Notamacropus eugenii: one gene and its partners. The protein of the gene in region 1 binds, or shares a complex with, the protein of each later gene. Links are inferred from orthologs where the notes say so. Each region holds a gene or a part of one and is shown in the gene's direction. Other genes may lie near its edges.

Region 1 (6,938 bases):
TTGTTAAAAAGGGACATCAAAACTGGTAGTATTTGTCCCACATAGGGCAGTTAGGTGGTTGCAGTGGATAGAGCACCAGTGCAGGAGTCAGGAGGACATGAGTTCAAATCTCACCTCACACACTTGACACTTAGAAGCTGTGTGACATTGGGCAAGTCACCTAACCCCAACTGCCTCATCCTGGGTCATCTCCAGTCATTCTGATGAATATCTGGTCACTGAATTCAGATGGCTCAGGAGGAGAAGTAAGGCTGGTGACCTGCACAGCCCTCCCTCCCTCAAAACAAAGTCAAGTGCAAGTCATGTCATTATTTCTCTGATGGTATGGTCTTCTTCGACAGTGAAGGACGAACACACATTTGTCCCACATAGTAAATGTGAGGACCCAATGATAAAATGGACAGAAAAAGTTCTTTGGAAACTTTCCAGCATAATATCAATGTTCTCCTCCCCACCCCCAGCTCATACAAGGCTGAGCACAGAACAAACTCATGAGAGTAAGGCTTCAACACTTTAAGGAGTGGTGGTTTTTACAACTCCTATGTGAATTAGCTACCTTTGATGAATTGCTCTACCTTAAAAAGATCATCACCTAGAGGCCAGCCTCCTCTTAATGAGCTGCTAAAGTACACAGTACACCCACAGTGAAAATCTGAAGCCTCCCCAGCTTGCTATACCCTGGGTCAGAACTTTGGCCATGTTGCTGGTGTTAGAACCTCAGAATTACAAGGAAACACCAGAAGAAGACGGAGTGCAATAACAATTACTCTTGTACAACTCTACAATTTATGCAGCTCTTTACAGCTTGAGAGGCAGAGTAGTCAGTGTGTGTCCTTACTAGCTGTCTGACCCTGGGGATGCCATTCACCTCTGTCTGCCTCACCTTCCTCACCTGTAAAGTGAGTACCCAAAATAGTGATCTTACAGAGTTGTTGTGACTAAAGTGTCACAGAAACATGATTTTCTGCTTTGATAAAAGTACCTTCCTATGAGAGGCAGCTTTAATGAGCTAAACCAGAAGTGGGGAATCACCCAAGTTCAAATTCCACCTTGAACATTTATTAGCTATGTGACATGGCACACTGGGGAAAAAAAATAGCCTCAGGAGTCAAAAGCACTGGATTCAAATTCCAGCTACAAAATGACTACGTGACATTGGACAAATCACTTGACTTCTCTGAGACTCAATTTTCCTCATCTGTAAAAAGAAAGTCTTGGACTTAAAGCCATTTTAAGGTAAGGCCTAAATCTATACTAGCATAAATGCATACATATAACCTATACACATGGTAAACAGGCAAGAGACGGAAGGCACTAGGGATTGGCGAAGGCTCCCTGTTCACAGTTGGATTTTACCCAGGACTTGAAGGAAGATGGGGATGCCAGGGGGCAAAGGTGAGGAGAGAAAGCAATCCAGATATGGTAGATGGCCAGAAAAATCAATCAATTAATGAGTAAATATTTATTAAGTGCCTACTATGTGCCAGGTAGTATGCTAAGCATTAGGGATACCAGAAAACGCAAAAGACAGTCTCTGCCTACTATCAGTGGAGTTTCCATATGGAGAGACACCCACACCAATAGAATCACAGGGCAGCTGCAAAAGCCTTGTCTCAATTGTCAGAGTTCTCTTATTTTACTATAGGGGGAGCAGGGTACAAGATGTACATAGATCAATAAATATAGAGTAATTGGGAACTGGGAAGATTGGGGAAGATCTCATGGAGGAGGTGATTCCTGAGCTGGACCTTGAAGGAATCTAAGGTTACTGAGAGGCAAAGATAGAGAGGAAGGGTATTCATTCTAGGGGAGCAGGATAGTTTGTACAAAGGGGGCAGAGGGCAGGGATGGAAGGGCACATTGGGAAACTTCCAGGAGTCCAGTTTGGTTGCAGGGGGAGAGGGGAAGAAACTGCAAGAAGAAACTTGAGGCTGCATGTGGCCCTCTAGGTCCTCAAGTGCGGCCCTTTGACTGCCAAACTTGACAGAACTAATCTCATTAATAAAAGGATTTGTTCAGTAAAACCTGGACTCAGCCAAAAGGTGGCACCAGAGGACCTAGAAGTCGATGTGGTCTCGAGGCCCACAGGTTCCCCACCCCTGAGTTAGAACATAAATTTCCAGAATGAGGGGAAAGGGAGCATAATTGTATATAGTTGTTTGCATGCTGTCTCCTCATTTGGATTGTTTTGCAGCAATTTGGATTTCTTAAGGGCAGGGACTGTCTTTTGCATCTTCTTGTATCTCTAGTGCTTAGCATAGTACCTGGAACATAGTAGGTGCTTAATAAATGTTTACCGATTGACTGATTTCTCTAGCTGCCTACCATGTCTGGAATGCTTTCTCTCTCCTCATCTCTCTTCTGGCTTCCCCTTCTTCCTTCAAGTCCCGGGTAAAATCCAGCTGTGTACAGGAAGTCTTCCCCAATCCCTAATGCCTTTCCATCTCTTGATTATTTTTTATTTATTTTGCATATTAGGTTATTTGTATATATTTACTTGAAGGTTGTCTCCCTCATTAGATTGTGAGCTCATGAGGGCAGCGATTTTCTTTTGCCTTTTTCTGAATTCACAATGATTAGCCCAGTGCCTGGTATATAGTAGATACTTAATAAATGCTTATCAAATGAATGACTGTCTGCCCCCCAAAAAACCAAATGTATTGAAATAAAAGTTGCCAGACTATTAAAAACAAAAAACAAGTTCATGGAATAGAGGGATGAATTGGGGTGGGTTGAGAGGTGAAGCAGGCAGACCTTCCAGCCCCTATTGCAATAGTCCAGGGATATGGCAGTGATAGGGGCCAGAAGGGGCATATCCCACATATGCTGCAAAGATGGGAGGGGTAAGAGTTAGTGAGCAGTTCAGGATGATTGTTAGGACGGTGCTGTCTTCCTCTACAGTAAAAGAGGGATGGTGTGTGAAGGGAGGGAGCTTTAGGGAGAAGACAACGAGTTCAATCTACTCACTAGTTGTGTGACTCTCGACTTGACCTCTGTCTACCTCAGTTTCCTCAACTGTCAAATTCCCCTGCACAGCTGTGAAGACCCAATGAAATAACACTTGTAACGGGCATGGCACAGTGCCTGGCGCTCAATAAATACTTCCTTCTTTCCTCCCTTTCTTCCTTTATAAGTTTGCGTATTTTCTTTTGTGCATTTAAGAAGACGATTCAGCGGAGTCCCCAGACTGACTGTCAAAGTGGTCCAGCACACAAACAAGGTCCGGAATCCTTCCATTCGAGAGGCAATAGGGCTGGACGATTATTTTAGAGTGTGACAGGCGTACTCGGGGTCCAACCTGTGCTCTGGAAATGTCACTTTTGCAGCTGGGTGGAGGATGGACTGGGGGGGGGGGGGGTCTTGGGACAGAGCAACTGTAATATAGGAGAGGGAGCCCGGGGTTCTGTCCACTGAACCTCGCAGGTATCCTCTTCTCCAAAGCAGGAGAATGGAAGCTCCTCACTGACAGGGACTGGAATTCTCAGAGCCCGGCACACAGCAGGCGCTTAATAAATGCTTGTTGCCTGACTGTGGTCCTCAACAGAGAGCATCACAAGTCTCCTACGGCGGGGAAGATGGCAAGCCAGTCTAATCAGAGAGGGCAAACACAGAGTCCTGGGCTCGAGATCCCCGCCCGCCCGCCAGCCCACAGGCCCGGAGAGGCCCCCAAGACGGCCCACCACACTCACTCACTCAGCAGCCTCCAAGGTACAGGATCTAAGAGGATGCCGCCATGAAGCGCTCGGAGCGCAGCCAATCGTAGGCCTCCGTTCCCCACAGCCAATCCGTTAGCCACCGCCCATCAGCCACCGCGCGTTCAGGAAACCTTCCCACCGAACGCAATGACCAATCGGAGACTGATTCTCGCGGTGACAGCCCGTCTTCTGACCCAATAAGAAGAAGCAAGGAAAGTTAACAAAAGAGTCTGCACAGGAAGTTTGTTCGTGTCCCTCCCTCACACATAGCAGCCAATCACAGTCCTATATTTTTCTTGAAGGCCTCGCCCTCTATCCAATAAGAAGGGATGAGAAGGAATGAATTACTCTACCCTTGCTCTAGAACACACACAGGAAATTGATTGGTCCGGCCTAGGACGGAAGTTCCTGGGTGGGCGGGGACAATCTTAGCCAATGGGAGCCGGGCCGTAAACCCCGGCGCGGCCTGTGGACTGAGCAGCGCGGACGGCTTGAGGCGGCCATGATCGAGCAGCACAAGCGGAAGGGTCCGGAGCTGCCGCTCGTTCCCCTCAAGCGGCCCCGTCATGAACTACTGTTGGGAGCGGCGGGGCCGGGGACCGGGGCCGGGCCTGCTGCGGGGCAGCAGCCTCCGCCGGGGGCCCTGCTACAAGCGGTATGTGACCTAGCGAGCTAACGAGTCCTGTCAGCTCCCGTCTCCCCTTCGCCCCCTCGTCTTCCTGCTCCTCCGCTCCCCTCTTCCTCTTCCCTTTCCTTCCCCCTCTCCGTCCCCCTCCTCATCCTTCTCGGACTGTCAGGGACCTCGGAGAGACCTTCAGAGAGCCCAGCCTCCTCACCTTAAAGAGAGGGAGGGAAACTGAGGCTGGGGGAGGTTCTGGACTCAGACTTTTTCTGAGCCCGACCCTCCCTTTACAGATCGTGAACGCGGGTCCCAAAGAGGTCCTAGACCTAGGGTGACGGTCCCGCACCCCCTTCGGGGGACATCTTTCCGAGGCTGCCCATCTCAAACCCTCAGCTCTCAAAGCTGGGACAGTTATCAAAGTTAGGATTTGTGTTGTCGTTGTATTGAGATGAAATTTGTAATATCTTTCCAATTGATTCTGCTTGGGGGTGGGGAGGAACAAGCATTAAAAATCGTTTCTGTGTGATAGCCCCTTCGCTATTTGAAAGCCTCCACTGGCTTCTTCTCTCTTGCTACTAAGGAAAACTGGAAAAAAAATCCCCAAATCGTGCTTCTTGGGTCCGCTGCGATATATGCTACGTGACCTCAGTTGGCCTGCAGTGCTAGGAGACGATCCTTTTATACCTCCCTAAATGACTCACCATCCCACTTTCCCTGGGGGCTCTTCAAAATCTTTTCATCCTTTCTTAAATTTCTCTTGGTATCCCTTCCCCAGTTCTCTCGGCTAAATGGCTTCTTATTTTGCGGAAAAAGCTAAGAGTATTCTCTCTGAGCTCTCTCTTTTCCCCTCCTCGTTTCCTGTCACTCATATCTATCTCTTCCTTCATCCCTGGCTCACGTAGTGAAGTGGCCCTTTTCCTTGCCTCCTCCTGCACCTGTGATCCCATTCTGTCCTGTCTCCTCCAGGTGGTTGCTCCTTCCATCCTTACCTCTCACGATCTTCAACCTCTTTCTCTTTATTGTCTGCTTTCTTGCTGACTGCAAACATGCTCTCCCATCCTCAAAAAACCCTCACTTGATCCTTTCTAGCTGTTCTTCTCTGTCTTTTCTCCTGTTTTGAAAAGGCTGTCTACAATAGGTGCTTCTACTTCTTTCCTCTCACTTTAACTCTCTAGTCTGTTTTCAGAACTCATCACTCAACCGAAACCTCTCTCTCCAATTACTAATGATCTTTCAGTTACCAAATTCAGTGATTGCCTTTTCTCAGTCCTCATCCTTCCTGCCCTCTCTTCAACCCTTGATACTGTCAATCACGCTCTTCTCTTTTGTACTCTCTTCTCTCTTGGTTTTTGGAACAGCACTCTCTCCTACTTCTTTTCTACCTTCTCTCCCAGTTCTCCTCCTCCCTTCTGACTGCTCTATCTCAGTCTCCTTTCCTGCATTCTCTTCCAGGTCATGCTCACTATCTGGGAGTGTCCCATAGGATTTTTGTCTTTGACCTTCTTCACTTTCCCCCTTTACACAGTTCACTTAGTGATCTCATTAGCTTCTGTGGATTTATTTATCATTTCTTTGCTGGCAGTTTTCAGATCTACCTATTCTGCCCTTATCTCTGCTGAGCTCCAACTGTCAGGTCTCTTGTAATATCTCTCACATGTACCCATTTCTCTCCTCTGATATTGCTAATACACTGGTACAGGTCTCCATCATCTCAAGACTGGACTATTGCAATAATCTCCAGATCGGTCTTCCTGTCTCTCCCCACTCCAGTCCATTGCAGCTAAAGTGGTCTTCCTGAAGTGCAGGCCTCACCATAACATCTCCATTTAGTAAACTACAATGGCTCCCTATTATCCTGAGGATTGAATAAAATCCTGTTTCAAATTCAAAGCCTTCATAACCTAGCACTGCATGCCTCTCCGCCCCATTCCCTTTCTAGTTTTCTTATGTTTTGTACAACCCTCCAGTGACACTGGCCTCCTGACTCTTCCTCAAACAAGAACATTTCCTGACCTTGGGCATTTTCACTGCTTGTTCTCCCCATGCCTGGAATGCTCCCCCTCCTGAGCTCTACCTTATGGCTTTAAGTCTCAGCTAGAATCCCAACTTCTACAGAAAGCCTTTCCCAACCTCCCTCAATTCTAGGGCTTTCCTTCTGTTGATTATGTCCTACTTATCCTGTACAAAGCTTGTTTGTAGATAACTTTTTGCTTGTGGTCTCCCTCATTAAAGTGGGATTTCCTTGAAAGCAGGGACTATCTTTTATCTTTGAATCCCCTTCAATTATCACAGTGCCCAGCACCTAGTAGGCACTTAATAAGTGTTTATTGACTGACTGAAAAAGATCTTATAATCATAAATTTTAGCGATTAAAAGGACCTTAGACGCTTTCTGGTCCAGTCCTGTAATTTTTAAAGGGACAAGCTGAGGTCCAGAGTGTGGAATTGTGAGTATGAAGGAACCAGGCCTCAACCCTCAGTACTACCTTGTTGTCTATGGACAAAAGGAGACAGAATTGTGCTGGGTGCTTAATGTTTGTACGACCCTTTTAACTTACGGGCATATGATTTAGAGCTAGGAAGAACCTGAGATATGGCCCAGGCCACCTCTTCAGTTTCTAG
Region 2 (7,045 bases), on another chromosome or scaffold:
TGCACTCTTTGACCCAGCAATACCACTTCTAGGTCTGTATCCCAAAGAGATCATACAAATAGGAAAGGAACCTACATGTACAAAAATATTTACAGCAGCTCTTTTTGTGGTGGCTATGAACTGGAAATTGAGAGGATGCCCATCAATTGAGGAATGACTGAACAAGTTGTGGTATATAGATGTAATGGAATACTATTGTGCTATCAGAAATAATGAACAGGTGGACTTCAGAAAAACCTGGAAAGACTTATAGGAACTGATTCTGAGTGAGGGGAGCAGAACCAGGAGAACATTGTATACAGTTACAGCTACACTGATCAATGACTAACTTTGAAAGACTTGGCTCTTCTCAGCAATGCAAGGTTCTAAGACAACTCCAAAAGGTTCAAGATGGAAAATGCTACCCACATAAAAAGAAGTATGGAGACTGAATGCAGATCGAAACAGTATTTGCTCTTTTTTGTTTTGCTTCTTTCTTGTGGTTCATTTCGTGGCTTATAATTCCTCTTTGCAACATAACTAGTGTGAAAATGTTTTAATGTAATGTATATATACAGCCTATATCAGACTGCACGCCATCGTAGGGAGAGGGGAGAGGAAAAAGAGGGAGAAAATTGGGAACTCAAAAGCTTGTGGAATTGAATGTTTTAAACTAGTAAATAAATTTTTTTAAAAAGAGGTTAAAAAAAAAAGAAATTCATCCACCTGTAGCACTGGCCCCTGCTAGAATCAAAGCTATGCATTGTGGAACCCCTTAAAAATATAATTTCTGCCATTTCTTTTTTACCATGTCTTACCTCGACTAACACTCCAATACTACACTATCTTATTTACACCTCCTGTCAAATACTAAGTGACATTATACGGACTTTCATAGCAAAGCACTAGCCTGGTATCACCTAGAATGATTAATCATACTATTCTGAACCAAGGAACACCAACTTCGAACAAGCATTAATTAAGTACCTACATGGCAAGCACTTTGCTAAGCACTAGGAATACCAAGAAAGACAAAAACTGTCTCTGCCTTCAAGAATCCCAAGGGAGAGACAACAAACACCTAACTATGCACAAAAAATACCTATACGGGATAAACTGAAGATAATCTCAAAGAAAAAGCAACAGCATGAAGAGAGAAAGGCAAAGGCTTCTTGCAGAAAGTAGAACTTTAGTCGAGCCTCAAAGGAAGCCAGAGAATCCAAGGAGGCTCTTAGGGGGGAGAGAATTCTAGCTATGTGCCCATGCACAGAGCCAGAAAGACTGAGAGATAGATTGTCCCTAGATGCCAATCATACTTAGTTTGAGGCTAAAAAAAGCCTCTATTATTATTAAAAAATAATAATAGCTAACATTAATAGTTTGCAGAGCGCTTTACAAATTTTATCTATTCTTCTCCACAATAACTCTAGAAGGGAAATAGTTATCTCCGTTTTAGAGAGGAGAAAACAGGCCCAGGTTTAGTGACGTGCACACAGCTAACAAACGTTGAGCCCAAACGTGAATCCACGTCTTTCAGACTCCAGGTATAGCATTCCATACACTGTGCTACCTAGCTGTCTCCGATCTATTACCGTGGCTCCAGGTAAAGCCAAGCACCTGAAAGGGGACGGCGCAGACGGAGGAGCCAAGCGTCACAGGAAGAGGACTGACTACACGCAGCCAGAGGGCTTTTCGACGGCCGGCTCAGGGACCTTAGACTTAAAACTTCCCATCTTCGGTCCTCGCTCTTCTCGTCTACCGACCAGAGGGGCTGGTCTAGAGACGATCTCTTACGATCCCACAGGAGCCAGGAGAAACCAGGAAAAGTTTCTCACAAATCTCATTCCCCTCGGAAAGAGAACATTCTGCCGAAGGAAACGCGCCCCTCGCGGACCGGGTAGGCGGGCACGTCGCTTTACCTGTCCAGGGCCTCTAGTAAAAGAGGGCTGGAGGAGTGACCTCCAAGGTGAATTCTGGCTCGGGGCCCCTTCGGCGTCCCAGAGGTGGGAGGGCAGCGGAAGCAGTGAGAGGCACACCGGAGGAGAGAAGGGCAGGAAGCGGGGCCACTCCACCGCAGAGCCCGGGGCTCCGAGGAGGGACGTGGGGGGGCGGGGAAGCAGGACCTGCCGGAGCAAGGCCCAAGCGGAGAGGGGCGTGGTGACCCCCAGGCTTCTCCGTTCGATCTTACCTGAGCCTCGGGCCTGAGCAGAAGTGGGTGGGAGGTAAAGCTCCCGCCCTCTCGGCTCTCAGGTGCGACTGGTTGTCTCGCATTACGCGCAGGCGCACACACACGTGCGCACGTGAGTTCTTCCTCACTCAATGGCTGGGAAGCTCCAGCAGCCAATCGGAGAGGGAGAAAGGCCGGAAAGAGGAGACAAGCCCCGCCCTCTTTCCTCCACCAGCGCTCCAGGTGTGGGGGAGGTGAATTAGTAAGGCGGAAAGAAATCCCTTATGACCCGGAAGGAGGTTCCCGGCCGGAGGATTGTTTACATTTAGAAGAATCCCGCGCCTTTGGGAAGGTAGTTAAACCGACTTGATCCCTCTAACAGGATGGTTTGCGAGAAATGTGAGTGAGGGTACCTATCGCTCCGGGGGATGGGGATGGGGGCAGAGGAGAAAGAGGGGACAAAGATGAATGCGCGACCCCTGGCCCAAACTCCCGAGGCTCCCTGTGCTTCTCAGCCTCAGGGGGTCTGGTCCCTGCCCTGACCGCCCTCCCTTCAGCTAGTCCTCTGCCTCTCCTTTCCGACATCGCCAAAGCCTCTCCCGGTGCTTCTCGCCCATTCCCCTCCGTTTCCACCCTGTTCCCCCGCTTGAGGCCCGAGCCGATTGTCGCGTCTCAACAGGCGTCGCGTCTCTACCCTGCTCCCTAAATCCCCCCTGCTGCCCTTATCTTTGGTCACGAGCCTGCTCCCCAGGGCCCACGGCAGCAGGACCGTGTGAGCCCTGCGTGTGTGTATGTGTGTATGTATATGTACACGTTAATCAGTAGGACCCTACATTTGGTCATATCCCCAATATTGCAGAGAAGAAAACTGAGGCCCACATCGTTAATTGGTGCAAGACCCGAAAAGTGATAAGTGATAGAACAGGGATTTAAAGAAAGGTTTTCTGACTTGAAATTCACGGAGGGGGGGGAAGGGTTTCCCCTTCTCCAACTGCATAAAATCAACTGGATCCTCTATCCTCTATCCACATTCATGTTCAGTGAGTGCTATTTCCATCATAGCTTGCAGTCTCTGTAGTCCAGATTTGAACGTTCCTGAGCCCAAAAATATGCCTTTGTCATAACTAAGTTTCACCCACCCAATTCTCTCTGTCAAATCCTGCCTATCTTTCAAGGTCTAGTTTAATTCCACCCAGGTATGTAGGCCCACCATGGTCTTTACATATCTCTAATATCCAAAAGAACAGTATGATTCTAACACTCATTTGATTTTAATCACTCTTTGTAATTAATATGTGTGTGTGTATCGTTTCTTTAAGGAGATTACAAACCCCTTAAGAAGAGGGACTTGGTTTCATTTTTTATCCTCCACGTTATACCCATTGTAGGAAGGTAATCAGTCTCTCCATAAGTACTTGTAAAACATCTTCTATGTGTCAGGCAATCTGCTAAAACGTTGGGAATACAAAGAAGGGCAAAAGACTATCCTTTCTCTCAAGTAGCTCAACAGGTAAAACTGTATATAAACAAGTTATATACAGGATAAAGAGATAATCAACAGGCAGCTAGCATTCATCAGCCTTCAAGGGATCAGGAAAGGCTGGAATTTTAGGTGGATTTTTAGCCAGGACTTGGAAAGAAGCCAGAAGTCAGAAATGAGGAGGGAGAGCTTGGAGGATAGCCACTGAAAATGCACAGTCTGGAGACGGAGTGTCTTGTATGAGGAAGTGCCTGGAGGCCAGTGTCACTGAATCACAGAGTAGAGGGTGAATAAGTCAGAAGACTGAAAAGGTAGGAAGGGGCCATTTTGTGAAGAGCTTTGAATACTAAAGTATTTTATATTTGACCCTGGAGGTCATAGAAACTACTGGGGTTTATTGAATGGTAGATGAAATGGTCAGACCTGCCTTTTAGACAGATAATTTTTCAGCTGAATGGAGAATGAACTGGAGTGTGAAGAAACCAGTGGGCTATTATAGTACTCCAGGTATGAGAACCTGCGTCAGGGTGGTGGCAGTGTCAGAGAAAAGAAGAAAATATGTTTGAGCAATGTTACAAAGATGAAATCAATTGTACTTGGCAACAGATTGGGTATTGGGGGAGAGTGGAAGTGAGGAGCTTAGGACTACATCTAGGTTTGTGAGCCTGGGGAACTGAGAAGTGCCATTAATAGTAATAGGAATTAATGTAATTAATTATTTTTTAATAGTAATAGGAAAATTAGAAAGAGGGAAAGATGAATTCAGTTTTGGACATGTTCAGTTTAAGATATCTATAAGACATCCGCTTTGAGATGTCTAATAAGCAGTTGGAGATTCTAAAGTCTAAAGCATTTGGAGGTCAGGAGAGAAGTTAGTGCTGGGAAAGTAGATCTGAGAATCATTAGCATAGAAATGACGGTAATTGTATCCGGGAGATTGAGTAAGATCACCAGGTGAAAAATAGGATAGGGGAATAAGAGAAGAGGGTCCAGGACAGAGCCCAAGACAACCCATTACATTTTTGGCTATCTCCAATTTTGGGATTTTATTTTTTCCTTCCATGGAATCCAAATTTGCTTTGTTCATCAGCGTCTGAGCAGAAACTAAGGCAGCAGATAATGGGAATGATCCAAGGCCAAAGCTAACAGGCCATGATCAGCAGCGTGATCAGAGCCAGGGACTCAGTTGAAGTGGACAGTGTAGAGTTGAACTGGTTCACCAAGAGGTCACGATGAGAAAGAAAGGAGAATGCAGCTAGTGCAGGAGTGGTGGCCAGGGAAAGAACTGAAGGCTTAAGGAATTGGAGGTCACAATTTGGATGAAGAACAGGATAGAGAGAGAGGGAGAATGACAGTAGATTGTGATCAGATAAGGAAATTTCAAGAGGTCGTTACCATGGAGGTAATACATTGTCGGTGAAGGCAAGGGCAAGGTTATGGCTTCTTTGTGTATGGCTGAGGTGGGGTGGTGGAATAGGTCATATAAAATGAGTAAATTAAATGAGTTGGGTTTATTTTTCAGATCTGTGCGTAAGAGAGGTAATATTTTATTTTTTTCCAATTCCATTTAAAGATAGTTTGCAACATTCATTTTTTTAATAAGATTTTAAGTTCCAGATTTTTCCCCTCTCTCCCCATGACAGTAAACAATCTGGTATGGGTTATACATTGTACAATCATGCTAAACATATTTCCATATTAGACATGTTGTAAAAGAAGAATCCATACAAAAGGGGAAAACCGCAAGAAAGAAAAACAAAAATAAGTGAAAATAGTAAATGCTTCAATCTGCATTCAGACTCCATAGTTCTTTCTCTGGATATAGATAACATTTTCCTTCATCAATCTTTTGGAATTGTCTTGGATCATTGTATTGATGAGAAGAGCTAAGCTAGTCATAGTTGATCATCACACAATGTTGCTGTTACTGTATGCAATGTTCTCCTGGCTCTGCTCACTTGACTTAGCATCAGTTTATGTAAGTCTTTCCAGGTTTTTGTGAAATCTGTTTTCTCATCATTTCTTATAGCACAATCCATTACATTCATAGTCAGCCAATTGATGGACATCTCCTCAATTTCTAATTCTTTGTAACCACAAAAAGAGCTGCAATAAATATTTTTGTAAATGTAAGTCCTTTTCCCTTTTTTATGATCTCTTTAGGATATAGATCTCATAGTGGTAATTGCTTTATCAAAGGGTATTCACAGTTTTATAGCCCTTTGGGCATAGAGGAACTGTGAATTTAAGGTGTTTAAGAGAGTATCAGTGTGTATGTTGAAGTCCTAGTATGAGGGAAAGAGTTGGGGAGGAGAGAACAATTGTGATCTTATTGTGAACTCATTGAGGAAAGAGGGGGAGTGTACTGGAGGCAGAAAGTTAACAGCTATTCAGCAATACCACTTCTAGGTCTGTATTCCAAAGATATCGTGAAAATAAGAAAAGGACCCTCATATACAAAAATATTTATAGCAGCTCCTTTTATGGTGGCAAAGAGTTGGAAACTGAGAGAAATGCCCATCAGTTGGGGAATGGCTGAACAAGTTGTGGTATATGAATGTAATGGAATACTGTTGTGCTGTAAGAAGAGATGAGCAGGCAGACTTCAGAATCCACATTGCGGCTTTCACAGACTTAGCTCTTCTCACCAATGCAAGGATCTAAGACAGCTTCATAAGACTCATGATGGAAAATGCTGCTCATATCTAAAGAAAGAACTATGGAGTACAAATGCAGATTGAAACATACTGTCTGCTCTTTTTTGTTGTTGTTTTGTTTGGCTTCTTTCTTGTGTTTCTCCCATTGGTTCTAATTCTTCTTTACGATATGACTAATGTGAAATTTTCACTAATATGAAAATAGGTTTAATATGAATGTATATAAAGATTGCATGCCATCTTGGAGAGTGAGGAGGGAGGGAAGGGGAGAAAATTTAAAACTCAGAATTTTATGGAAGTAAATATTGAAAAATAAAAATAAAAATTTTTTTGAAGTTAAAAAAAGAAGGATAACAGCTACTAGAATTTTTATTGGGTGGTGGAAAGGGATTCAGTGAATGTTAAAGGAAGAGAGACTACTGCATAGTGATGGTAGCAGGAAAACTTGAAATTGGCACTCTGAAGCAAGGAATATTCAACTTCCCCATCTCAGTGTGGGGAGGGGGAAAGAGGGGGGGAAATGGAGGAAATGGGTGAAAGTGGAAAGGTAGGCTGTAGTCAGAGGGATCCAGTTCTCAATAAGAGCCAGAACATGGAAGAAGTGGGAAAGACAAAGATTTAAGATGAAAGCAGGTTTGTTACCTATGGAGCAGGCATTCCAGACAACACAATGGAAGGGGTAGGTAGCATTAGAGTGAGACACTGGGGGCTTTTCGTGGAGGAGAATAGTACTAATTTATCAGTACCAGATGCAGAATAGCA
Region 3 (7,409 bases), on another chromosome or scaffold:
TAAGACTAACTATATTTCCCTCCATCCTATCCTGCTTCCAATTACTTCTATTCTCTCTTTTGATCCTGTCCCTCCCTGTGAGTGTCGACCTCAAATTGTACCCTCCTCCCCATGCCCTCCCTTCCATCGTCCCCCCCACCCTGTTTATCCCCTTGTCCCCCACCTTCCTGTATTGTAAGATAGGTTTTCATACCAAAATGAGTGTGCATTTTATTCCTTCCTTTAGTGGAATGTGATGAGAGTAAGCTTCATGTTTTTCTCTCACCTCCCCTCTTTTTCCCCAAACTAAAAAAAAATCTTTTGCTTGCCTCTTTTATGAGAGATAATTTGCCCCATTCCATTTCTCCCTTTCTCCTCCCATATATTTCTCTCTCACTGCTTAATTTCATTTTTTTTTAAGATATGATCCCATCCTATTCAATTCACTCTGTGTACTCTGTCTCTATGAGTGTGTGCGTCTGCATGTGTGTGTGTGTGTAATCCCACCAAGTACCCAGATACTGAATAGTTTCAAGAGTTACTAATATTGTCTTTCCATGTAGGGATGTAAACAGTTCAACTTTTATAAGTCCCTTATGACTTCTCTTTGCTGTTTACCTTTTCTTGCTTCTCTTCATTCTTGTGTTTGAAAGTCAAATTTTCTTTTCAGCTCTGGTCTTTTCATCAAGAATGCTTGAAAGTCCCCAATTTCGTTGAAAGACCAATTTTTCCCCTGAAGTATTATACTCAGTTTTGCTGGGTAGGTGATTCTTGGTTTTAGTCCTAATTCCTTTGACTTCTGGAATATCCTATTCCATGCCCTTCGATCCCTTAATGTAGAAGCTGCTAGATCTTGTGTTATCCTGATTGTATTTCCACAGTACTTGAATTGTTTCTTTCTAGCTGCTTGCAATATTTTCTCCTTGACCTGGGAATTCTGGAATTTGGCCACAATATTCCTAGGAGTTTCTCTTTTTGGATCTTTTTCAGGTGGTGATCAGTGGATTCTTTCAATATTGATTTTGCCTTCTGGTTCTAGAATATCAGGGCAGTTTTCCTTGATAATTTCATGAAAGATGATGTCTAGGCTTTTTTTTTGATCATGGCTTTCAGGTAGTCCCATAATTTTTAAATTGTCTCTCCTGGATCTATTTTCCAGGTCAGTTGTTTTTCCAATGAGATATTTCACATTATCTTCCATTTTTTCATTCTTTTGGTTTTGTTTTGTGATTTCTTGGTTTCTCATAAAGTCATTAGCCTCCATCTGTTCCACTCTAATTTTGAAATAACTATTTTCTTCAGTGAGCTTTTGAATCTCCTTTTCCATTTGGCTAATTCTGCTTTTGAAAGCATTCTTCTCCTCATTGGCTTCTTGAACCTCCTTTGCCAATTGAGTGAGCCTATTTTTCAGGGTGTTATTTTCTTCTGCATTTTTTTGGGTCTCCTTTAGCAGAGTGCTGATTTGTTGTTCATACTTTGCTTGCAAGTCTTTTATTACTCTTCCCAGTTTTTCCTCCACCTCTCTATCATGATTTTGAAAATTGTTTGGGCTCTTTAAGACCTTTTCCCAGAACTGATCCCATTGAGTGGACTGGGATGTAGAAGCACTGACTTCCGTGTCTTCCCCTGATGGTGAGCACCGCTCTTCCTCATCAGAAGGGAGGGGAGGAGAAACCTGCTCACCAAGAAAGTAACCCTCTATAGTCTTGGTTTTTTTCCCTTTTCTGGGCATTTTCCCAGCCAGTGACTTGAGCTCTGAATATTCTCCTCACACCCACCTCGCCTCCGGATCCTCCCAGCCCGCGCTTGGGGTCTGAGAATCAAATGCTGCTTCCCAGCCTTAGGGCTTTTGGCAGGGGCAGGGCTGCTATTCAGTGTGAGATTAAGTTCAGGTGCTCAGGTGGGGGCAGGGCCGCCTCATGGGCTCAGTTCCCTCAGGGGATTTATGCGGAGACCTTCAACAATGGATCCAGGCTCCTGCCTGCTTGGGGAGCCCGGGTCTGCTCCCGCCTCCGCTGTTGCCTTCCGAGGGGGCCTGAGTATGGGGGCACCCCACTCCCCTCTCAACCCACCAAAGAGACCTTCTCACCGACCCCCGTCACCTGTGGGTGGAGGGACCCGCGTGGCCGCTGGAGATCCCGTCCCTGAAGTCCGCTTGGATCTGTTCCTCTCGTTGCTGGGGCCCGTGCAGGGCTGGGCTGGGCTCCGCGTCCGCAGCGCGACGGACCTTTTGCAAGAGGTTTGCAGGTCCCTCTGGAACAGAAATCTTATCCGCTCCACTATTATGTGGCTTCTCCTGCTCCCGAATTTATTGGCGGCTCTTTACTACGGATATTTCATGGGCTGTGGGTTCGGAGCTAGCGTATTTGTGTGTTTCTACTCCGCCATCTTGGCTCCACCCCCACAAGAGTTTTTTAATAGGTAACAAACCTAGGTCATTTTCTGAGGAGAAAGAGTAAGTATCTCTTAAGGTGTGGTTCATTGTGTAAAATGCTGCAGACAGGTCAATAATAATGACTGGGGAAAGTTCATCAGTTTTGGTTGCTATTTGTCCTTTGTTCTGGAAGACAGGAAGTGATGCCATGACATGCAAGTTGTGTGGGATGGCTCAGGTCCCTACATAAATCAATTACTCAGAGGCCTCTCAAAGTGATGACAGAAAAGTGATTTATTCGTTTCTCAAGAAGAGGGGCTTACCTGTAGGAGTAGGAAAGCCGAAGACAAAGAAAAGGGCAGTGATTTATATAGACCCTAACGCAAGTCCCTCCTCCCCACCACTGACCGTTATCCTCATTAGCTGAGAATATGGTCTTACATTCTAGACACGAAATCTAACCAATCCCTTTTGAAATGAAGACATTGAGGAATTATGTAAGTTTTGTCCAATCATTGAGACCCTAATACACTACACAGTTTTATATCCTTATATGGAACTATTCTATTCTAAAAATATTGTAACCTTGAGCCTTTAGGCCTTACCTCACCCCTGGGAGAAAAATTACAATCTGAGGAGTCTTCAGTAAGTCTATCCCACTCAAAGTGAATTGGATTTAAGTGAGGCAGGGCTGTGCAAAGTCACCAGCCTCACTTTCTTCCCAGAGCCATCTCAGTCCAGTGGCAAGATGCTGTATTTGTCCTTCACTTTTGAAGACAACCATGTTGTGTTTGTCCTTCATTTCCGAATACCATGCCATCAGAGAAACGATGACATGATCTGCACTTGACTTTGTTTTGAGTGAGGGAAGGATGGGCAAGGTCATCAGCCTCACTTCCTCCTCCTGAGCCATCTGGGTCCAATAGCCAGATATTCATCAGGATGACTGGAGGTGGGCCAGGATGCAATGGGAGACCCTGGCCTTTTTTAGGCTAAGGCTTTTTTCAGCTACTTTTTTCAGAGTGAGGTAATGCCCATTCAATGAATAGACCTCTTTAAGAAGTCAATCAAAGGATGGTCCCCTTAATTAGAAAAAAAGATAAATTCAAGCTGAGAGGGGAAGACCCTCAGGGTTGCTGTTCCAAAGAGAGTTACCATTGATATTAAGCCAGGAAGGTCTTAAATGCAACCTTGAAGTGAAGCCTGGGCAGAGACCTATTGTGCTCCCCATTCATGAGCCTCAGAGTGAGCTGGGTTGAAGGTTTTGTGAAAGAGAGACAAGAAAGAAGGAAATCTAGCCAGTAAACTCCAAGTTAACTGGGCAAGACATACATCAGGATGACTGGAGATGGCCTTTGATGCAGTGGAAGGCTGGCCTTTTCAAGCTAAGGTCTTTCCCAGGTCTCAATTTGACTAAGGTGAGGCAGAGAATGTCCTCTTTCACCTAGTTAAAAAAAAAATCAATCTGGGAGGGGAAGACCCTCTAGCCAAAACAGAAACAACTGCTATTCACATTCATTCTGAGCCATTCGGGGCTTGGCCTGGGGCCTTCTGTTGGCCAATCAAGGAGAGCCAGAGTGGACTTGCATGCCTTGACATCCTTAGAAACTCTGAAAAGAACAGTTTAGGTTGAGAGAGTAGTCAGCGGTTACTGGAGAACCCCAGGGAGACTGGAAGGATAGTGGTACTCCAACAGAAGTGGGGGTGTTCAGGGGAGGTGTGGGTCTTTGGGGGGGGGATAGACAACAATGAGATCAAATTTCATATCTGCACCAGTCCATATTAACTACTTTTTCCAACAAAAACAAAAAAGGCAAAGAGGCATGTACAGGAATGAGATCTTACCCTTGATGGCCCCAGCTGGCAGAGCTCACCTGTTGAAAGGTTTTGGGTGTGAGGATGGGTGGGGGATGGGCGGCCAGGAATTGTGCCTTCCAACTGCAGAGCATCCATGACCTGCCCAAGTTTAGGTTATAATAGCGCTCCCCGCCTCCCTCCGCTCCACCGGCCCCGCCTCCCGCTGGGATCGGCCAAGGGCGGAGCCTGGCCACGCCCCTTCCGCCGCTGGGGGCGGGGTCAACACCGCCTTCCGCTCTGGAGGAACTGCCGTGCAGAGCGGGCGCGGTAGGTGCAGAGAGCTGGGGGCCGTGGTCGCGGGGTCCCTGCAAAGCAGCTTCTCTTGTCTCCAGGTCAATCTCGAAACGACAGAGCGCGGTGACTTCCGGTGTGTGAAGCCCCGCCCTCGTCCCCCATAGTGAGATTTAAGGAAGTCGAGGCAGGATGCCTGAAACTCGGGGGATTGTTTTGGTGGCGTTACCTTGGTCCGTACGGAGGCCGTGTGTGCTGGGGAGAAGGGCCTGCTGCGGAACCCTGGCTCTGGAAGCCTGGGCCACGTTCAGTCAGTCAACCAGCATTTATTATGCGCCTACTCTGCGACGCCTTGGGCATGGCGTATGGGGGAGGGGAATATACCTATACATGACGTAATACAGAGGGGGGAACGACCCTCTGGGAGCTCACTTACATTGGGGGGTGGGGCGGTGGCGGAGGACATGTTTACGTAAATGTATACAAAACAATTAGTGTTCACCTGGGCGAGGGGAGTCAAGGAAGCAAGTGCAAGAGGGAGATACGAGGAGTGCCCGAAGGCAGGCCGGTGCAGAGCGAAGGCAGGTTAGGCGTTTATTGAGCTCGTACTGTGTGCCAGACTCAGGGATAAGCGCAGAAGGTACAGTGTAACAGAGAACGTGCAAGTTGCAACTTTGTGCAAACGATGTTCTCTGGATGAAGTGGAGATGATCCCAGAAGGGAGCGCCCAGGAAAGGCTTCTTGAAAGTGGGGTTTTAGTGTAAGGAAGTCAGGAGACAGAGATGAAGAGGAAAAAAATTACAAGCGTTGGGAACTCATCAGGAAAATGCACTGATTGAGGAGATGGAAGGTCATGTGGCCAATATCATTGGATTACAGAGTATGTGAGGGGAGAAAGGCATAGGAAGATAAAGGTAGGAAAGGGCCAGGTTGTGAAGGGATTTAAAAGCCAACCAGAGGGTTTTATATTTGATCCTGGACATGCTTTCTTGTGTTTGTCCTTTGTTTTCGAAGAGGACTATGATAATCAGAAATGATGACATGAGTTGCATTTGATATGGTGCCACTTGACTCCTCATTGACATGGTCACACCTTCCCTTTAGGAAGATGACTGGCAGCTGAGTGCAAGATGGACTAGAGTGAGGAGAGATTTGAGATAGGGATACCAACAGGCTTTCTAAATAGCCCATAGTATGAAGGGATGAGGGCCTACACCAGAGCAGAGGAGAGAAAGGGATATGTAGGAGAGATGCTCTAACACTAGAATTGATTGGACTTAACAACTGGTTGAATATGATGGGTGATAGGAGTCAAAGATAACACCTAGGTTTCAATTCTGGATAACTGATAGGATGGTGCTGCCCCCAAACAAGAATAGGGAAATTAGGAGTTCTGTTTGGGATATGCTTTGAGATGTCTCCAGCACGTCTAGTTTGAAACATCCAGTAGGCAGTTGGAGATACAAGTCAAGAATTCAGGAATGAGAGTAGGACCAGATATATGGGTCTATAGATAAGGTTTATCTGCATGTAGATGATAATTAATCCTATAAGAACAGTTGAGGTCACCAAGTGAGATTGTAGAGAGAGAAAAGGGCTCAAGGACAAAGTTTTGAGGTATACCAGCTGGGGGAATGGGATGGATGATGACCCAGAAAAGGAGATTTTGAAAAGAGGTGGTCATATAAAGAGGGAAACTGAGGGCAGGTTCATGAAAACCCAGAGAGGAGAGTGTATCCAGGAGGAAAGAGTGGCCAACACAGTTTCAGTCCCTGCAGAGAAGTAAAGAAGGGTGAGAATTGGAAAAAAAAAAAAACTATTGGATTTGACAGTTAGGAGATCACTTGACAACTTTGGAGAGAGCCTTTGCAATTGAATGACAAGGTTAGAGGCCACATTGCCAAAAGCAGAGAATGTGGAGGCCATGAGTGTTTAAAAATCAGCCTACAATGATTAATAATTGTATGACGTTGGATAAGTCACTTACCTCCATAGACTTCATCTGTAAAATAAGAGGGGGGGGAGTGTGGGCGGGGGTTGAATGACATAATTCCTAAAGTCTCTTCCAGCTCTATCATTGATCCTCTTTGTTACCTGCAGTGGCATATTGGTGGGAGCACTGAGTTGGGGCATCAGGACCCTTTTGGCCCTGGACTTCAGCTCTTTCATATGAAGTATTTGTAAACGACTTAGCACAGCTAGCACACTTAATAAACACTTGTTTCCTTCTCTCTTCCACTCTTTTTCTCCTTCCCTCTCTCCTTTCCTTCCTCACTCCCTCCCTTCTGCCCTCCCGTTTTTCTTCCCTCTTTCCTCCCTTCTTCCCTCCTTTCCTTCCTCCCTTCTATCTTCTCTCTCTTTCTCCCTCCCTTCTCTTCCTTCCTGCCTTCCTTCCTCTCTCCCTTTTTCTTTCCTCTCTCCTTCCCTTCCTTCTCTCCCTTCATTCCTTCCATCCATCCTATCTCCCTCTCTCCCTCTTTTCCTCTCTCCTTCCCTTTCTTCCTCCTTTTCTTCCTTCCACCTCCCTCCCTCCCTTTTTTATGTCCTTTCTCCTTCTCTTCTTCCTTCCCTCCCTTCCAACATCTCTCCCTGCCTCTCTCCTTTTTATCCTGCCTTTTTCCTTCACTCCTTCCTCCCTCCCTTCCTTCTTTTCTCCCTTTCTTCCTCTCCCTTCCTCCTTTCCTTCATTTTAGGGGCATGTGTCACATAGATGACTTAAATGGATGATGTTTGCTTGTCCATCTCTGAGCATTTCTGTGAACGTGCCCTTCACTGATCCAAATTGCAATCCATCCTTACCTTATCCTGTGCAATTCTTTACCTTGGTCTCTCCTACATTCTCTAGAGGGATGGAGTACAATAATATTGGAGACCTTCTAGGTCTCTGACATTAAATGGTACCAGTGTAGCACTGAAACCATACAGTTATTATCTTCCAATCGCGTACATGACTGGCCCACCACCTTCT
Region 4 (7,276 bases), on another chromosome or scaffold:
GGCAGAGGAGATTTCTCTCATTGTCCCCTTCCCCTCCAGCTATGGTGGCTCCTTCAGGACTACAGTGTAGGAAACACTGAACCCAGTAGAAGTAGGCCCAGCCGGTAATGAAAGTAGATAACTTTGAGGAGTATGAGTTGTGTATTGATAAAGCAATGAGCCTTAGTTGTGGAAGGCTGGACTGCAGAGAGGAACAGATCCAGGGAGTTCAGCTGAATGAATGACTAGTGCAGGAGAGATTCTGCATCTCAGGGGAACACTATGAGGACTCCAGAAGGAAAAAGTCATGAGAATCCTGCAGTGCTGGAGGTACCTGGGCCACATGTGTTTCTTAGGTGTTTGCCTTTCTACTAAGGTATTCTATATAAGTACCCACTCTTCCCATGGACAATGTGTAGTTGTAGAAGACTGAGCTCCAGGTCTATGGGGGAATGTTTTGTTACAATTGTTCTTCTGATGCTATCTTAAGATATGCCTTTGCTTTGAGCTGACCATTAAAGGTAAGGGGGGGTGGGAGTGGGGGTGGGTGGGGGAATGGTGAACTGTAGTTTTAGGAGTACAGACTCATAGAATACCTTGAACCTCTAGGGTAGTTATCTCCCTGGACACCTAACCTGAAAGTGTGGGATTTGAGGGGTAGCCCAGAGGTAAACCAGTGTTAAGGATGAGGTATAAGGTATCAGTTACCTAAAGTTCAAGCTCCTATAAAGTACTGCACATACTCCTAAAAGCTTGATTTCCAACTACTTCCTAAGACTCAGTATTTCCCCCAAAGAGCCTTTCTCACAACTATCTGAACATATCTTGCATTTTCTCTGTTTCCTTGCAGTTCTCTCTTCCTGCTATGTAAACATCCTGAGGGCAGGAAGCAATTCTCTTTTGCTTTTGTATCCTCAGCACCCAGGAGGTATCTGGAACTTGCTAGGGCTGTCAGTCAATCGGTCAATAAATTTTTATTAGGTTCCTACTAGGTATCAGGCATTGTGCTAAGTGCTGAGGATACAAAAACAAAAAAGAGGGAAAGACAGTTCTTACTCTTAAGAAACTTAATGGTCTAATGAAGGATGACAACACACGAAAGGAAGCTGAAAAGAGGGAGGGAGTGAGCGAAAGCACGTGTGGGGGAAAGATGCCCAGGTGTGGGGACATGATGGAGTTCAGTTCAGAAGTGTACAGCTAGTGAGAAATGAAGAGATGACTGGCTTGGAAGGCCTCATTAAATGGAGGCTTTGGGAAAACCTATTTGGTCTGCCTTCCAGACTGAGGGTACTCATGAGGTGTTGCATTCCAAGGCTCAATAAATACTTGTTGATGAATTGATCAGAATCCTCTTCTCCAACTGGCAAAATCTAACTCATCTCTCCAGTAGCCACTCAAAGAGTAAAGGGTTGGTCAAGGGACTGCCCACACTGATAAAATCACAGCTCTTGAAGTATTTGAGGAGATTACAACTTAAGTATGTGATATTACTAAGGTGTATATTATTATGATGGTGCCTACTGAGTCTTCTGTGATAAATCCTTTGTATGAAAAGGATATCATGTAATTAGTTCAAAGGTCAGGACTTTGGCAAGGTATTTTTAAGTTTATGATTAGAATACATCCCTGAAGACTTTCTCAATCCCAATTGAACTTACAGTTCAACAAACATTTATTAAACTCTATAATGCAGAGGGTACTGTAATAAGTACAGGGTGGCTACAGAGATAAATTTAAGGCACAATTCCTGGAATCCCATAATCCAGAAAAGTGACTGTAAGAAGACTTAGATTCATATTAAGCTCTTACTACTTACCAGCTGTGTGAATTTTTTAACTTACTTAGGCCTCTGAGCCTCAGTTTCCTTATCTATAAAATGGGCACCAATCATACATGTATCAACCACCTCGCAGAATTTTTCATGAGGAAAGTGAATTGTAAACATAAGAACACCACGAAAATGAATTTCTTTCTCTTAATTATGATCAAGGTTCAAACTCATTTGCCTGTCATTCAAGGTCTTCTACAATCTGGTGACACCACCTTTTCAGTTTTATAGCATGTGAGGCTATGGCGGATAGATTTGCTGTTGGATTTGAAATTAGGAAACCTGAGTTTGAAACATGGCTTTGCCATTTAATAGCTTTGTGGCCTCAGACAAGTCACTTTATCTCTTTAGGTCTTAGTTTCCTCATCTGCAAAATCGGAAAGGAGGATAAGATTAAAATGCTTCTAAGTTCCCTTCCAACTCAGATCCTATCAGTTCTCTATAATCTTACTTCACTTCAAACTGGATATTCTTTCTCCCCTTCTCTATAACACTTTTGTTCCCCTACTTGGAATACTTTTTTTCCACTTCTTTAACTTAAAGGTCAACTCAAACATCATCTACTCCAGCATAATTTTATCTCTATACAGGAGCATCTGGAGAAGTTCACCTTCTATACAGAATACCTCTTCTAGACTCTGTACAGAATTTCTTTACTAAAAGTAGAAAACACATTTTGATGAACAAATATCATTGTTTTATGACCTGATGTTAATACTTAGAGATGGTATTTGTCAAGGAATCATATGATCTTAACATGTGCAGGGGGCACTCTTTACAAGAAAATCAAATCTATGCTTTTTGGGATCAACAGTAGACAGAGAGAGATCTTGAATTCTCAGCACCTTTCAGTCAATTTTGTGACTGTGAAGATGAAATCTATGATATAAAATTGTTCAAGAGAGCTTCTTTGTTTCCTTCTATTTTTTAAAAACTTAAGGACACTCTCTAAATATGTATAGATCAATCTCATGTTTTATAGGGATGGGAAAGTAATTTTTTGTCCTTGTATTTTCAGCACCTAGGGTTGTACTTTGCACATAGTAGGCCCCTAATAAATATCTGTTGAATAACTGCTGATATTTCTTGATTGTATTTTCCTGTAATGATACCATCCCTGGTCTCTTTGAGGTATCTTTAAAAATGGACCCTTTTGTAGCTGTCGCACTTCCATGATGTTTTTCTTCTGTATGATGACAACTCACATTTCCATATCACTAGGATTTCTCTCAACCGCCCTTTGGTACATGTAGTAGGTATTTAATGCTTGTTGATGGAAGAATATCAAGGATTTTAAATTTCCTGTGGATGGTCATTCTATTGAAGATCATAATCTCTCATAAATTCAAGAGATGGATTTCCAGAGTTATTGTGGCCAAAAAGTTCATCAACTTGCAGGTGATAGGTATTGGTGAAGGCAGCTAGGCTGGCCTGCAAACAACACTCACCTATCCTTACCCCAAAGCTTTGATAGCTTATTGGGACATGTTTGACTGTGCTCTTTGTGCCTTGGAGAACCCAGGGGGATGTTTGATATGGTGAAAAATAGGACTTTGGTGAAAGCCTGAAGGTATTTTCACTCTCCTTTTAGATATTAGGAAATGAGGTTCAGACTACAAGTGACTGTCTCAAGGTCACACAACCAGTAAGTGAGAATTTTACGTACTGCACTAGGCTGCCCGAATGACATACAGATAACTATTGGGGGTGAGCTTCTGGGGGCTGTGATTATCTAAGCTCTATGGGACAATGGGACACTTCCCTAATAACGTGGATTGTTGTAGAAAATCACGTTTTAAGCGTGCATATTCTACATTATTTTCATCAAGTACATCCTGGATATGTTTGTAGACCATTCCCATAAACAAATGAATTATAGGTAAGGGTCGATGAGACTCAGGTCATCGTCTCTCAAGATGGCGACAGACAAAATGGCAAGCCCATCCCCCCATCCCCCTGCTCCTGGGGTGATGCTAACACACAAGTTTTCTCTCCCCTCTGAAACTACGACTCCCAGAATTCCCCTGGGGACGGAGGAACTGTGGTTTAGGCCTTCTCAATGCCTTATGGGCATCCTATTGATGTGGCGTTAATACAATACTCCCTTTCCCCCCAGTGGCCAGCCTCCAGAATACATTTCCGCTGCCCGCACCTCCCAACCCGTAGTGCACGACGGGAGTCGCAGTGGGTTCCTGGTGGTATTAAGCAGACGTACATGCTCACGGGACTACATTTCCCTCGAGGCATCGCGATATGAAAGTTTGCAGGGGTGGGGAGTGTGTGGGGTAAATAAAGAAAAAAGACTGGAGGCTTGCGACTGCGCGGAAAACCAATGTAAAGAGCGTGAGAAGAGGGCCTCCGACACTACGCTTCCCGGCGATCCCTGCGACGTGCGTGCGTGCTGACGTCCTCTGTTAGTCGTGCTGACGTGCAGCGCGGCCCAGGCGGGGTGCGAGTGGCGCAGTCGGAGCCCGCTGCGGCCCCCGAGGAAGCGAGGAGGCGGTGGCGGCTGTGGCAAGGCAGAAGAGGAGGCAAGGCGAGGCAGCGACTCCAGGCCCCGGAGGACCCAGGACCCCGCAAAGCAGTCGCGGAAGAATTCCCCCCCCTCCTTCCCGACCCGGCGGGCGGAGGCGGAGGAGGAGTCGTCGGCGGCGGGTGAGCGGGTGAGAGAGAGCCGGGCGGTGGGGGGAGGGGCGGCCGCGCGGTGGCCCCGGCGCGAGGCCAGGCGCGCGGAGAACCGACCAGGCCGCACGCGCGCACGCGCGCTCGCTGTCTCGCGCTCGCGCTTATTCCTTCCTTACTCTTTCTCTATACCCTTCTATCTCCTTTTCACTTCCCCCTTTTCTCGTAGCCGACCCCGGCGCGCGTACTCCTCTTCCCCCCCACCCCCTCCCCCTCGGCTGCGGCGCGCGTCGCCAACCGAACGCGGTCTCGCGCGCGCGGGGGAGGGGACATGGGGGGGGTGACTGAGACTCGAGGGAAGGGTGCGCGCTTCTGTAACTAACCCCCCCCTTCCCGTTCCACGTGCCAGTTGTGGAGAACTGTATGCCTGTACCTCGACCTGTGGCCAAACCCTTCCCTTCCAAAAGAAAAAAATTCCTGTTCCCCTGCATCTTCCGGTGGGGGAGCAGGGTACTCTGTAGTAGGCCAACTCCGACTCTCCCCTCCCCGCTCATTTTTACTATACTCGGCTCCTTCACCCACTAGGGATCGTAACCCCTTCGGCCTCCCCTTAGGCCCTTGACCCCCTCCCACTCCACCTACTCGCATGTCGTCTTCCCTTTCCCAGAGTGCCTCTTAACTCGTTTTTTCTATCCACTTCCTCTCTGTCTGCTGTTTTCTGCCCCCTTTTCAACCCCTTATGTTTGTAATTGGTCCCTGGTCTTATCTGATTCTATTGCCTATTATTTTCCAAATATATTTTATCTCTTCATCTGCCATCTTAGAGGATTTCTTCACTTTCCCCATATAATGGCCAAAACCGTGTGTTAGTAGCTTTTTGTACAGGGTACTCCAAAGCTTTTTTAAACATTTGAACTGGAAAATCTGCCTTAAACGCTGTAAATGCCAAAAAGGAGGCAGTCAAAAACATGTATTCAGTATAGTTAGTGTGAAGTAACATTACAACATTTTTGTCTTTTTTTTTTTCTTTTTTGTTATAAATCAGTTACTGTGTGCCAGGCAGTGTGCTAAACTATGAGGGTAGAAAAGGAGGTAAGAGAGTCCCTGCCCTCAAGGCACTCACAATCAATATCTCCCTGAGAATAGCCATGACAAGAGAGAGACCACTGAGTGGGGAGTCGGGAAACCTGGGTTCTTGTGATTGGCTGTGTGACCTTGGGGGAGTCACTTCTCTTTCCGTCTCAATTTTCCCCCCCTCTAAAATGAGCTGGTGAATTAGATGAACTCTGAGGTTCATCTCTAACGTGATTCGTTGTTGATTGCTTTCATTACATGCACAGTTAATTTCCTGAGTTATCCCAGATCCTCTTCATGTATTTTGGTAGCCTCTTCTTTTTCTCCTGTTAGTCTTTACTTGTAGATCCTTTGCTCTTAGTTCTTGATTGTTACCTTGTTTTACTACTGGTGGATTTTCTAACATGATTCGTTGTAGATTCCCTTTCATTACATGCACAATTATTTTCCTGAGTTATTACTCTCCATTATAATCTGGTGCCATTTTATAGCTCCATATTTCTGTTTTGATCAGTTAGAAAAAAAGATATTTTTCCCAACTTTAATAGGTTTTTTGTAACTCTAAAGCTAATTCATATTTTTCCCCAGATCCTCTACATGTTAGTCCTTTACTTATAGATCTCTTTCTCTTAGTCCTTTATTGTTACCTTTTATTACTGGCTTCTAATTTTTTTTTTTCTGTGGCTCCCTTGAGAGATTCCCTACAGTGACTCCTTCCTACCTTTTTTCATAAAGGTCCTCTACAGTTCCTAAAGCCTTTAGATTCATAATAATGTTCTCTGTATGTCTCTTCTCCCCCCACACTCCTACTGCCCCTAACCCTGTAGTCTTTTCTTAACACCCTCCCACCCTTTTTTGAGCACTATTTTGGATGCTTCCCTCCTCAAGGGCTTCCTTTTACAATTTTCTCTTTCCCATTGATTCTCTTCCACTATTTTTTCAAACGAAGTCACTTGGTTTTCCCTCTCTAGGGGAACGGAAGGGAGTTTGGGTGAAATGGTATGGAAGTGTGGGTGAGTGAATAGGTTGAACATTTAGAGAACAGAACTCCAGGACATTGGGAGAGAAGTGGAAATGAGAGTAAAAGGGGAAAACAACGATTTGGGATTTTGAGGAGTTAGGAGAACATGAGAAGATGATAGGGTGGGATTCTGGACTACTGGAAAAACCTCTCACTTAAAGTTTTCCTGTTCTTTTTCTCCTGTTTTCACTTGGCCTGCTTCTCCCCTTGCTTGACCCTTCTTTTTTCTTTGCTCTGGTTTTATCATCCTCTTTTACTTTTTTTACTTTTTTTTTTTGTCCTTTTCTTTAAGGTCTATGGGGGCTTTTACTTTTTTATCCTTTTCCTTAAGGCCTATGGGGGCTAGAAAAAACCCAGGCCCTTGTCTTGCCTCTTTTTTCAGAGCAAGTAGACTTCTTGGACAAAGTCCTTCCTCTTTGGAATCTCTTTCATACATACTATCCTTTACCTCTTTCCAGCTTTTCCCAGGCTGCTATTCTAGTATATATTATCTATAGTTCTGCTTATTTAGTTCCCTTCTACCCCAGTCTTCTCACTTTTTCCTCTTACTTGGGACTATACCTTAGTTTTCTACTTAGGATTTCTTTTCTTTGATCTTTTCTTTCTTTAGGACATTTTGGAAAGGTGGGAGAAAGGAACAGGGTATACAGGAAAACAATTTAAGGTAGGGGGCATGTGACAGGGAAATGTGGTAGGAGGAAGGTCATGCCAGGGAAAGAACAGTATGATAGGTCAGAAGTTTGAGGGGGAGT

The links.
Region 2: SNRNP40 (region 1) and CRIPT share a complex: the UniProt entries of both Homo sapiens proteins name them as parts of the minor spliceosome. The link is inferred for Notamacropus eugenii from reciprocal best matches to the Homo sapiens genes SNRNP40 and CRIPT.
Region 3: SNRNP40 (region 1) and ARMC7 share a complex: the UniProt entries of both Homo sapiens proteins name them as parts of the minor spliceosome. The link is inferred for Notamacropus eugenii from reciprocal best matches to the Homo sapiens genes SNRNP40 and ARMC7.
Region 4: SNRNP40 (region 1) and SRRM2 share a complex: the UniProt entries of both Homo sapiens proteins name them as parts of the minor spliceosome. The link is inferred for Notamacropus eugenii from reciprocal best matches to the Homo sapiens genes SNRNP40 and SRRM2.

What each region holds. Positions count from the first base shown.
Region 1 is NC_092876.1:72,718,421-72,725,358, reverse strand, and holds the start of SNRNP40 (U5 small nuclear ribonucleoprotein 40 kDa protein), read left to right. Parts: upstream 1-3,922; 5' UTR 3,923-4,197; coding exon 4,198-4,350; intron 4,351-6,938. UniProt on the Homo sapiens protein: Required for pre-mRNA splicing as component of the activated spliceosome. Component of the U5 small nuclear ribonucleoprotein (snRNP) complex and the U4/U6-U5 tri-snRNP complex, building blocks of the spliceosome.
Region 2 is NC_092872.1:662,290,715-662,297,759, reverse strand, and holds the start of CRIPT (cysteine-rich PDZ-binding protein), read left to right. Parts: upstream 1-4,034; 5' UTR 4,035-4,087; coding exon 4,088-4,133; intron 4,134-7,045. UniProt on the Homo sapiens protein: As a component of the minor spliceosome, involved in the splicing of U12-type introns in pre-mRNAs. Involved in the cytoskeletal anchoring of DLG4 in excitatory synapses.
Region 3 is NC_092873.1:341,058,990-341,066,398, forward strand, and holds the start of ARMC7 (armadillo repeat-containing protein 7), read left to right. Parts: upstream 1-4,389; 5' UTR 4,390-4,477; exon of another isoform or gene 4,478-4,577; intron 4,578-4,579; exon of another isoform or gene 4,580-4,751; intron 4,752-4,935; exon of another isoform or gene 4,936-5,026; intron 5,027-7,409. UniProt on the Homo sapiens protein: As a component of the minor spliceosome, involved in the splicing of U12-type introns in pre-mRNAs.
Region 4 is NC_092872.1:56,350,079-56,357,354, reverse strand, and holds the start of SRRM2 (serine/arginine repetitive matrix protein 2), read left to right. Parts: upstream 1-4,269; 5' UTR 4,270-4,462; exon of another isoform or gene 4,463-4,470; intron 4,471-7,276. UniProt on the Homo sapiens protein: Required for pre-mRNA splicing as component of the spliceosome. As a component of the minor spliceosome, involved in the splicing of U12-type introns in pre-mRNAs.